Linked DNA regions of Arabidopsis thaliana. The protein of the gene in region 2 purifies or fractionates together with the protein of the main gene of each other region. This does not show direct contact. Each region holds a gene or a part of one and is shown on either strand. Other genes may lie near its edges.

Evidence for each region. Proteins that work in one complex are often made in the same cells at the same time.
Region 1: the proteins of AT3G58570 (region 2) and HON5 fractionate together in Arabidopsis thaliana (co-fractionation; one large-scale study listed by BioGRID). This does not show direct contact.

The regions. Positions count from the first base shown.
Region 1 is NC_003070.9:17,973,104-17,978,580, forward strand, and holds HON5 (high mobility group A5), read right to left. Parts: upstream 3,561-5,477; 5' UTR 3,199-3,560; coding exon 2,959-3,198; intron 2,874-2,958; coding exon 1,980-2,873; intron 1,444-1,979; coding exon 1,369-1,443; intron 1,276-1,368; coding exon 1,045-1,275; 3' UTR 539-1,044; downstream 1-538.
Region 2 is NC_003074.8:21,654,927-21,661,329, reverse strand, and holds AT3G58570 (P-loop containing nucleoside triphosphate hydrolases superfamily protein), read right to left. Parts: upstream 4,847-6,403; 5' UTR 4,672-4,846; intron 4,297-4,671; 5' UTR 4,232-4,296; coding exon 3,515-4,231; intron 3,421-3,514; coding exon 3,337-3,420; intron 2,990-3,336; coding exon 2,747-2,989; intron 2,128-2,746; coding exon 1,960-2,127; intron 1,801-1,959; coding exon 1,687-1,800; intron 1,593-1,686; coding exon 978-1,592; 3' UTR 518-977; downstream 1-517. Other genes in the region: AT3G58580 (DNAse I-like superfamily protein), read left to right, coding at 70-220, 316-464.

The DNA.
Region 1 (5,477 bases), on a different chromosome or scaffold from region 2:
TCGCGAGATGGTAAAGGAAGCTTGAAGAATCTGGAGGAAGAAGAAAGAAATTACAAAGAGAAACTTGGCGGAGAAGAAAGATAAGAGAGATAGAGATGGTTTTCGCGGTTAGAAGAAGAAGGTCACCACCATGGGCTAGAGCTTGGAAAGAGTAGAAACGAACGACCGAGAGGTTCAGAATCAGTTGCGTCAACCGATATGGGTCCACCTTTACTCCTTGTTTTTATTTTTATTTATCAACATTTCATTTTTCTTTTTAATTCACAGATTTTTAAAATAAATCACGAATATTAATTTTTTGGTATTATAGTATAACATGCAAATGTGGTGGTGATTTCTTTTTAACTTTTTCAAAAAAAAAAGTTGATTTATAAAACCAAAATCGAAAAATACACTACTTTATTTCAAATTCAAAATTTTTTTGGAGAAAAGTATTGAAAACTTGTTAAAAAAGTGTTTATCGAGTAATAAATTTAGAAATTTGGTTAAATGGTGTGTGAGTGAAGAGTAAAACCGTTCTATACCTTCTACCTAATTTCTGCAATAAGTACACTTAAAATTAAAACCGGATTTCAAATTAAAACAGAGCAACTGACATAAGCAACTTTTATTTAATGGTTTTCTAACTACATAACGTAAGAGACTTGAAGAAACCATCATAAAAAGTAGAAGTGGTCATAAAAATTACATAAGCGTTTTTGATAAACATCAACAACAACTCCTAAAAAGCCTAAGGAGACAAAATAGAATAAGAGACACAACAGTCTAAAAAAAACACGAGGGAACAAAGAACAAAGCTGCCTACACAGATATGGACGATGGAGAGAGATGGGAAGCATGAACAATGGTAACATCCTAATTCACTTTACAGACATTACCCTACCTCTCCTTGTTGTTTGGTTAGAGACACAATCATCATCATCAGTTCATCACATTGTTCTTTTTGTTTTTCTCCTGCAAACACCCTTATAAGATTAAAAATTTCATGTAACACACAACAAGTAAACCCACCACTTGCTAGCTTTTTATGTCAAGGCTTTATCTTTAGAACAGAGCTTCTTGCATTGCCTCTGCTTCTGTCTGTCCTTGACCCTCTGCTTCTGGTTCGGTTTCAAGGTGTTCCTCGTCTGGCAGCTGCACTTCTTCCATGTGCTTTGGCTCGTTTGTTGTCTCTGCTATCCCTTCCAGGTCCTGTATGGCTTGAACCACTGCTTGATTTCCACTTCCTCCTATCTCGGATTTCAACACAATTACAATATCCTTAGCTCTCGCTTGCTGCATAAATGAGATATCAAAACCAAGCATAAGCAATTAAGTATCAAAACCAAGGACGGACCATATTGTGTTTCTGTTCATTAGATTACTTACAAACAACTCAAACTTCTTCTTCAGTTCTCCATAGTCACCATCTTGTCGTCCAGAAGCTCCCACTGACACCGCATTCTATGTTTATAAATGGCAATAATATAAATGTAATTAGATAACTAACTCATCAATATAATAGACAAAGAAATTCTAGTGGACTTGGAAATACACAAACTCTTGAACTTTGACTGAATTAACTAAATTTCTGCTTAAAACAGACAAAACTTGATAAGATGTCTGTCTCAAAAGATAAGTTCATATGTAATTCTCACACTTCAACTGAACAATTATTGGTTGCTAAAGCGAGCCACCTACCAAGTTGCTCTTGATTACCAAACAAAGAGATATCTTAGATTAATAGTACACCACAAAACCAGATTAAGTATAGGCCAAAAGCAGAGACACGAATATAAATTAAACTCTAGAATTTATTTAGTTAGATACTCTCTAGTCTCCACACACACGCTCGAAAGAGACAATGTTGAGAATGGAAAGTGACATTTATTCACAAGACAAAAGTTCCAACTTTTATTCTCTTATCTATTTGACTAGAAATATTCAAGTTCTCTATAATCACTGTGTAATCGCAGAGACAAAAAGGAATGATATTTTACCTTTCTGGGTCTTCCTACGGGTTTTCCAGTACGAGCAAAGCTTCTCATCGGCTTCATAGGCTTCCTGATAACACCTCCAATCTTAGGAGGCCGTCCTCTTCCTCGTTTCTTGACTGCAACCTCCTCTCCTCCACTCTCTACGTTAGTTGGTGGTGGTGGTGGTGGAGCAACAGAGGAAGCACCACCAGCGTCAACTCTCTTTGGTCTCCCTCGGCGTCTAACACCACCATTAGCAACATACGGGAACACTGAAGCTGGAGCTGAGACTACTATAGGCTTTCTCTCCCTCCCAGCAGCTCTTCCACTCGGAGGTCTACCTCTTCGTTTCACAGTCTCCACACCACCGGAAACAGAAGCAGCTGGCTTCACCGTCGGCGAAGTTCCATCTTTTCTAGGACGACCCGGCGGTCTCTTAACCGGCTGCTGTGGCTGTAACGGTAACTGTGGCGGCTGTATCTGTATCTCCTCTGGTCGAGAGACAGGTAATTCACTCTGTTCCCAGGTGAGTTTTCCATTAGTCAGAGGTTGAGGTTGAACAACATCTGGTTTAGCTTTTGGAGGTCGACCACGACCACGTTTAATAGTCTGAGGAGTAGAAGAAGCCAAAACCGGATCAGGTAAAGGTTGGTTCTCGTTGACTATGAAATCAGATCTGGGAGGTTCAAGACTAGGAGCTACACTAGTAGGAGGAGGAGGAGGAGGAGTAGAAGCAAGCTTGTAAGATTTCTTAACCATGACAAGAATCCCACTGGTCTTCAAAGTCTTGAGATGGTGTGTCAACAAAGCTCCATGAGCAGTAGGAATCCCAGTGTAAATTCTCTCTATGTACCTCGAAATAGCTTGCTTGCTTGACCCATCTGGTTCGTTTAACGCTGCAATCGCCGTGCAAATCATCTAATCAACGAAAAAAAAAAGTGAGTGGAAATTAAAAACCCTAACTTTAAAGTCAAAATGTAAGAATGAGCTAAGAAGAGCTTACGTCAGAGTAAGGAGGGTGGGAAATAGATGGATGAGGAGGAACTGGAGATGTTTGTGGCTGCTGCGGAGGAGCTGCTTGATAGAGATGGATGTTGTTTGGCGGCGCGACGGCGGTGGGTCCGGTGAAGAAGGGGTGGTTTGGAGAGGCGAAGGGGTTGGTGTTGGTGAAAGGAGGGAAAGATGTGAACTGAGGAGGAGGAGGATGATGAGGATCATTGGTTGCAGAGAGAGAAGGATCCATGGAGGATTTAGTGAGAGAGAAAAAATACAGAGCAAGGAAGGTGATGAGATTTTTGATTTTTAGTTTTTTTTTTTTGTTTCGGTTGTTTTAATTTTTCAGATAAAATTAAAAAAGTTTTGTGGAAGGAGAAGATAAAAAATAAAAAATAGTTAGGTTGGAGGAGAGAGAGTGTGTGTAGTAGTGTAAGAGAGAGATCGAAAATGACGACAGATGAGATAGTTAAAATCTGACCGTTGAAAGTGTATTTTGGTGCTGATTTACGACACGGATCGATGACGTGGCGTTTTTTGCTTTTGTTATTAAAATTGAGTTTTGTGTTTCTTTCAATTTTTTTTATATGTTTTTCTGCTTCTCTATTCAAGTACCATATTAAACTATATGTAAACATTTTTTTTCTAATTCTGAAAGTTTTTAAACATGCTTTCATTTCTTTATACTAATAAATTTCTAGAACAAGATTTTTTATACTAAATTCTCTACTTAATATCGGTTTACAAAAAAAAATGTATATTTCTAACCAATCAGTTTTTCATATTCTTTATGTTTTAACATTTACTTGGATTATATGATGTGCACTAACACCTTCTTCATTTTCTTGATCACTATCTCACTCTAATTCAAAAAAAAGAAAAAGAAAATCTCCAACAGTTAAAAAGTGCTATTATAAACACGTTAATACTGTTTTAGGTAAAATAAAACTCAAATTTTAATTCACTTTTTGTTTTAAATTTTTAATAGCTAATTTTATTGACTTTTTGAAATAAGACACTTCGTTAAGTTGCTTAACGAAATAAATTTACAACGCTAAATTTTCATCGAGATTCTTTGTTAAACTACGCAAAATGACACTAATATGATTTAAAAAAATTAAGCTCAGAAAATATATTTGAACTCCTTATTCATTTTTCAATCCATATATACATAACCAATAAAGGTAAGTTGAATTTTTTCACACCACAAACATTCAAATTTATATTCTTTAATATAAACTTTCTAAAATAAAAAGTTTAGATTTAAATCACCATAGTCTAATTGGGTTACTCTCTCGTCATGGCTGATTTAAATTCTCTTGTATAGCCTTTTCATTTTGTGTTTCTTTCAACTTTTTGTTTTGTTATTCTAATTCTCTATTCATGTACCATAATAAATTATATATAAACAATTTTCTTATCTAATTTTGAAAGTTTTCAAAAAAGTTTTCATTTTTTATATTTAAAATTTTTCTAGAATAAGATTTATAATTTCATTATCTACATTTATAACAAATCATTTTTTCATATTCTTAATGTTTTAACATTTATTTGGATTATGATGAACATTAACACCATCTCATACTATGTCCTCGTAAATGGCACTTCCTATGAAAATTGGAAGCTTTCATGGAGAATTCGACAAAAGCGATGATTTGTCTTCATATATTTTTATTCTATGTGCAGAGATTTTAAGTCAACTGATCATCAAAGTTGAAACAAATGGTGGCATCGAGAGCATACGCATCGCTCAGTCTGTTCCTACGGTTAATCATTTCTTATTCGCCGATGATTATTTGTGTTTTTGCAAAGTTGCAAAACAAAAACTACTGGTTACAGTATATATATATATATATATATATATATGTGTGTGCCAATTATTATAAGTGTTCAACTCAAAAGGTTAACTATGAGACATTCTTAATAATATTTGAATAAAACGCATATTCATAGAATCCTAGAGATAACAAAAATTGGAGGAGGAAACAAATATTTGAGTTTACTAGAGCAATTTGGAAGAAAACAAACGAATTATTTGAGTTTGTGCAGAATAAGCATGACATCTAAAGGGCCAAGTCTCTATTCTTCACTTGAGATTACGCTAATTGGAGATGTTCAGGGATTCTATGGACTGCTCTATTCAGCCTAACGAATGATCTTAAGTCCAAATCTCAATAACTCCAAATCATTCTGTTACATATATCCGACTTCTACCTTTTGGGATGGTTTGGCGCATCTGGAAATTGAAAAACGATATAATAATGTTTAACCATAAATATTATCAATCTCATAGGTCTACAATGTAACAATGATGTCCACAAATGGATAAATGCCCAAGCTGACTAAAGTCAACAAATGCAACCAGGTCCACCACAACACAAAAATTTGGGCCGAATGTATCATTGATAGCAAGTTGAGAAACCTCTAAACAATGAATATAAGCAAGACACTACTTGGTGAACAAGTATATTACCTTTTAATAAGTAACTAAACAATATTAGCCTTAAATTCCTCAAACTCAATAACCAT
Region 2 (6,403 bases):
GATTTAAGTAAATTTATACCGCTTATCTTTGCGTCTCTCTTGGATATTTGATAAATGAATTGGTTTCAGGTGAGCGCGTACTCATCGTTTGTGAGAAAGGGAATAATGGGTCTTGGATTGGAACAACACAGAAGGAGAATAGATCTTAATACAAACGAGCCTTTGTTTACCAATTGTACAAGGGACTTCATCGGCACTCATGACTACATATTCTACACAGGTTTCACCATTTTTAACTCCATTGTCCTTGTTTTCAACTACATCAGAAATAACAAGTTAACTTAATTGGAAGATTTTTTTGTGTTTGGGTTTCAGCGGATACATTAATGGTGGAATCTCTATTGGAATTACTGGATGAAGATGGATTAAGAAAAGACACAGCTCTTCCTTCCCCAGAATGGTCTTCTAATCACATTGCTCTCTTAGCTGAATTTCGATGCACGCCTAGGACAAGACGCGGTTAACCGCCTTCACCACCCACCATCATTTGCTTACAGATAGGTTTTTTTTTTTTGTTCCGATCTTCTTCTTTGATCAGACTATGACATCAACTGTTTAGACGAAACCTTTACCAAATCTGTGATAGAGATGACACAAAGATTCAAAGGGATTCTGAGTAAGGCAAACCACTCTATGAAGTTGGTCATTCTTTATTATGACCCCTGTGTGGCTCTGTCTAAACCTCCTTTTATATCTCATTTTGATCCTCAATATAGTGAAAACCCTTTGACTTTTCTTTTCCTTGGATCAATTTTAATGTTTGAACTGCTTTGTATGACTAAATAGCTCATGAGAATAATATGGGTCTACTAGGGGGTTTTCTTTTTTCACATTGAACAAAGAGACGATTCGTGTCTACTACATAACCATTTAAAGAGCAAACATACACATCTGTGGCTGCTCCCTAATAATAAACAATAGAGATAAGTGAGAGAGAAAGAGAACATAATCGGTTCTTGAAGAATTGAAGTTAAAGCTTAGTCCCACGCACTAGCCACTCCAGGACCATACCCTTGGTTAGGAACGGTTCCATATCCTCCAGGACCATAGTAAGCACCACCACCTCTACCATAAGGTGCATAACCACCACCCGGAACATTTCCATATCCACCACCTGGTACGGGTCCGTACCCACCAGGCATTGCTCCATAGCCACCACCAGGAACGCCTCCATATCCACCACCTCCACCATAGTAGTCAGCACCACCACCGCCTCGACTAAAAGATTCTCTCCTGAAGTCACGACCACCAAACCGTCCACCAGACCGCCGGTTCTTACCACCTCCAAATGAAGCACGAGATGCGTATCGAGTCAGCCAGTCAGGGACCTCCTGGTTAGCTTCTTGCATTAGCTCAGCCAGTGGCTTGGCCATTGTTGTGTTGTTGTCATTGAAGAAAGCAGTTGCTAGTCCTGAATTTCCTGCACGTCCTGTTCGTCCGATACGGTGGACATAGTCATCAATGTCGTTTGGTAGATCAAAGTTCACTACATGAGCCACGTGCGGAATGTCAAGACCACGTGCTGCCACATCGGTTGCAACCAAAATAGGTGTCCGCCCAGTCTTGAATGATCTCAGTGCCACTTCTCTTTCCTTGTATGCATAAAAAATACAATAAGGTTTTAGCTTTGGTTGCACTGAAGAATACTCTACAATATCCTAATTTTGATATCAACAACTCACTAACCTGTTGTGACCTATCACCATGAATGGTCGTTGCTGGGAAACCATTGATGCACAACCAATTCTCCAAAGAGTCAGCTCCCTTCTTTGTCTCCACAAAAACTAGAGTCAAAGCTTGCTGTAGAATAAAATAAATTGGATTGTAAAGGTGCTCTTGAACAACAATGCATCAAATAGAACAAAGAGACAATGAAACAGAATCGTGAAACCGAAAGGAGCAATAGTACTGACTATGTTCACTTTTAACCATGAAACCAATCATATTGATTTAAATTACCTTTCCTTGGTTACCATTCTCCCTCTGGGCATGAAGAAGGTCCATTAGATGGCTTCTTTTGTCAGAATCATGAACAAACTCTACTCTTTGGACAATTAAATCCGTACTTGAACCCACTCTTCCAACAGCCAGAAATATGTAATTTGAAAGAAAATCAGATGCAAGTCTCTGCACACAAAAACAAAATCATAATTAAGTGCATATGGAATGTAAAAGATTCCTTTGCTGCACAGTACGCAACTTCTATCTTGTAATTTTAAGAGCCAAAATTTTGGTAGTGTCAACTTAAACAATAAACATTATTTAGACAACGAATTGAACCCTCCAGTAATAAAGGAAAACAAGATTATGTACCGATCATCCTTCTCATTTCCCAGACCTACCAAATCTCACTCTTTTCTTCAGTTATAGAACAATCACGGACCTACAACAAGCAGCTACCCTTAGTTCCCTCTTACTCCCAAGTATATTAAATTTCATTGAAATGAATCGCTATCTTGTTCTTTCATATCACTAACATAAGAACCGCTATATTCTTCCTCACTCCATGCAAATATCAGATCATTTACACAAGTTAAGGATAAGTGCTCGGTCAGATTTATCCAAGTTGATTTAAAAGATAATAATTCTCAGAACAATTGTACTGGAGACCCAAAAGACCCAAATAACGTAGTCCCATAACAATGAAGACACTAACAGAGCAAGAAAGACTGAAGATAGAGATAGCTGAGAATCTTCTCCGGTAAGGAGAAAACATAGAAATGGCATGTGAACGAGTTCCACAAACCTGTATCTCCCTAGGAAATGTAGCACTGAACAACATTGTCTGCCGGACACCAGGAGGAGGCATGTCCATCTGCTGAACGATCTTCCTGATTTGTGGTTCAAAACCCATGTCCAGCATTCTGTCCGCCTCATCAAGTGCCAAGAATCTTACCATCTGTAATGAGACTCTACCTCTCTCAAGCAAATCATTTAATCTCCCAGGAGTTGCAACAAGAATATCAACTCCTCTTTCAAGCTCCCTAATCTGTACAACAGCAAAACAAGAACAAATTAGCAAGAGCACTAGACTTACTATCATGAAATGTAGCTGATTCCTGCAGCTTTTCATCTTAAGGACACAATTGTTCATTATTATAAACCCACATATACAGGAGAGGAGTAATGGTATGTTACAGAGCAAAGAACAGCCAGGACATTTCATCATCCAAACTAAGAGCTAAAGCAACTGTCAGAACAAAATTTAACAAGGCGCACCAAAAAACTAAAGTATAATTACAGCCTGGAAAAGCACAAGTAATCTCTCTCTCACACACATACACAAGAGTCTATAAGGCGTGGAAAATGAAGCATTTATAAAACAGTAACAGAAACCTGTTGGTTGACTGGTGTTCCTCCGTAAGCAACCACAACTTTCACTCCAGTTTGATAGGAGAACTTTCTGGCTTCATCATGTATCTGCAGAAAAATCATAAAAGAGATGTCTTTTCATGAAATCTTCATGTGATCAACAAATGCATATAAACTATGATATTATACCAGTTATTCAGACCTGGCAAGCCAATTCCCTTGTTGGTGAGAGAATGACAGCAAGAGGATAGACTCCCCGAACTCCACGTGGTCTCTCTATATGCTGATCCTTCATAATCCCACTAATAATCGGAAAACAAAAGGCAGCTGTCTTCCCAGAGCCTGTCTGAGCACAAGCCATCAAATCCCTTCCTGCAGCCAATATGGGAATTGCATTACGCTGCACAGGGGTCGGCTTCACGTATTTGCACCTCTGGATATTTAGATTGAGAGCTTCTCCGAGGTCTATCTCTGCAAATGTATTAACAGGAGGTGGCACATTATCCCCACTTGTCTCGATGGGAATATCTTCATAGGCCTCAAAGTTAATGACAGTGTTTTCCTGCTCGTTAACAGCCGGGTCTGCATTTCCATCATTACCAAACGGGTTAGTTTCAGTATCCCGACGGTCCCAACCTCCACTTCTGGCATTCCAACCGCCCACAGGACCTCCTCTACCACCATAGCCCGAACCTCGACCACCATAACCTTGGCCTCGACCACCATAACCACTATTTGCACCACCATATCCCCCACGATCATTATTACCAGGTGAAGGAGCAACAAACTCCGAAGATGGTGTACGGCTCCTAAGATGTGGAGGAACATAGTTGGTTCGAGACGGACGAGAATAACCCCAACCACCACCAGATGGTGCCCTCTCTGATTCAGAAACATCAGCCCATGAATTTGAACTCATAGTTGCTTAGCTTTACCAGAATCCTTCAAAGTATTGGTCTTCAATTTTGAGTTTGATCAAAGCCCCTGGATATCGTAATAAATATCAGTTCGAACAAGTTCGTTTTCCATAAATAAGTTGCAGCTATGCATGTAAGAAATGAGAGAAAGAGTCAACAAATCCAAATACTAAAAATGAAGAACAAATGCAAATCGATTCGAGAGAAGTAGTTATCTGTAGAAGAATCTTCAAAAAACCTCAGCTAATCGAATAATCTAAGAAATAGAAACGACTCGTAGTAACAAAACAAAATCACGATGAAGTAACACAAAGCTGAGAAGAATCGTTCCCTAAAACGAACAAATGCACAAATCATTAAACCCTAGAAGCAAAATGAAATCGAACAGGACATCGCTGCATAGATTTAACGACACCATGCACAGAGAGATATGAAGCCAGACCTTAAGAAACTCGACTAGAAGAAAAATCTTAGATCAACGATCAATGGTGTTCGAAAAAGCTTGAGGATATAAACCCTAATTTTCCCTTGTTCTCGCGATCGCACACGAAGCAAATGAAACAAAGGTTTCTGGGAAATGAGCAAAAGAGAAAAGATGAAGAGATATTTGTATTTCGATGAACTTTATTAATTTCCAAAAGCCTTTCTCGTTTTTTTATTTTATTAATTTTCAGATTGTTTGCCGTTTTCCAACAACGAAAAGCGTGCCGGCGTTGCTATAACGAAGTGAACTGTGTGTCGTCATAAATTAACATAGCGCGTGATAAACACGAAGAGCAAGGATTGGATAGAGACGAATATTTATTGTGGTCTGGACAAAAGTAATTACTGACAAATTTAGATATTAATTGCCAGCAAAAGTATTTACATACCAACTTATTTTAAACAAATGTCATAAATATGAGTCTGTACTTTCATTTCCATTGAAAATCATAATTTTCTAAATATCTATATTATTATATTATCTGTCTCTACCTAATTTGAATATTACAATGAAAATTTGTAAAAAATAAAATATTTTTGACATCATACATATATTTCAAAAAAATATTGTCAGCTAACTCAACAATTGGCCACAAATGCAAGTAAACTAAAAAACATACAACTACTTAACATATATGGATTGTATGATTATACAAGTCGTCAACATCATAAACATATAATCTCGGGTTAAATGGTCGACCAACTCCAGCGTTGATCAGCATTGACCAACAAAATATTCAAAACTAATTATTAGTATTAAAAAAATTAATGTTATTTGATATTGTAAAATACAAAAAAATATATTTATATCCAATATAAATATATTTTGTATATATATATAATGCATTAATTCATATAATATTTACTTTATTTTTTCAATTTCAAAACTAAACTAAGAGAATAAATATTTTTTTAAGATATGAACTATTCATAATAATAATAATAATAGTTAGTTTCTTAAGAAGTTAAATTTTTAATTGCTAAATATTTTTAATCAATAGTTAGTTTTTTCTTATATTATTCGTAAAAAACATTTACTTTGAATTTAAAAATTACCGTGCAAAATTTAGACTAAAAAGTTATATACTCAATTGTTTTTCATATTACTTTCTTATGAAACTTATATAGTCATGTGTATTTGGTTCTGTAATGATTTATTTTCTAATGAATAAAGAAGTTTATATATTTTAATTGATAATACAAAAAAAAGATTCTTTCACTCATATGTTTCTAATAAGATTTTTCTGGTTTTAATTTCAGTTTTTTTTTTGTTTTAAAAATTTTAATCATTTTTTTCATTTTTAGTTTAGTTTTGAAATTAAAAAAAGCTAAATATTTTAAGAATCAATGTATTAAATATATATGCAAAATATTTTTATAGTAGATGTAAAAATTGTTTTTTGATTATAGAATAACTAGTAAAACTAGATTTTTAATATTAAAAATAAAGTAAAAATTTATTTTTGAATATTTTTGTTGGTTAACACCGGTTGACGTTAGAGTTAATTGGTTATTTAACATGAAATTTTATATTTATAATGTTAACTATATAATATTATATACTTGGTTATGCAATCTATATACATCATTTAATTAAGTGTTATTTAGTTTAGTTGACATATATAGTTTGTACTGTATTATATTTTCCGTAAGTTTCAATCTTTTTTATTATAAATAGGTGAATATATGTG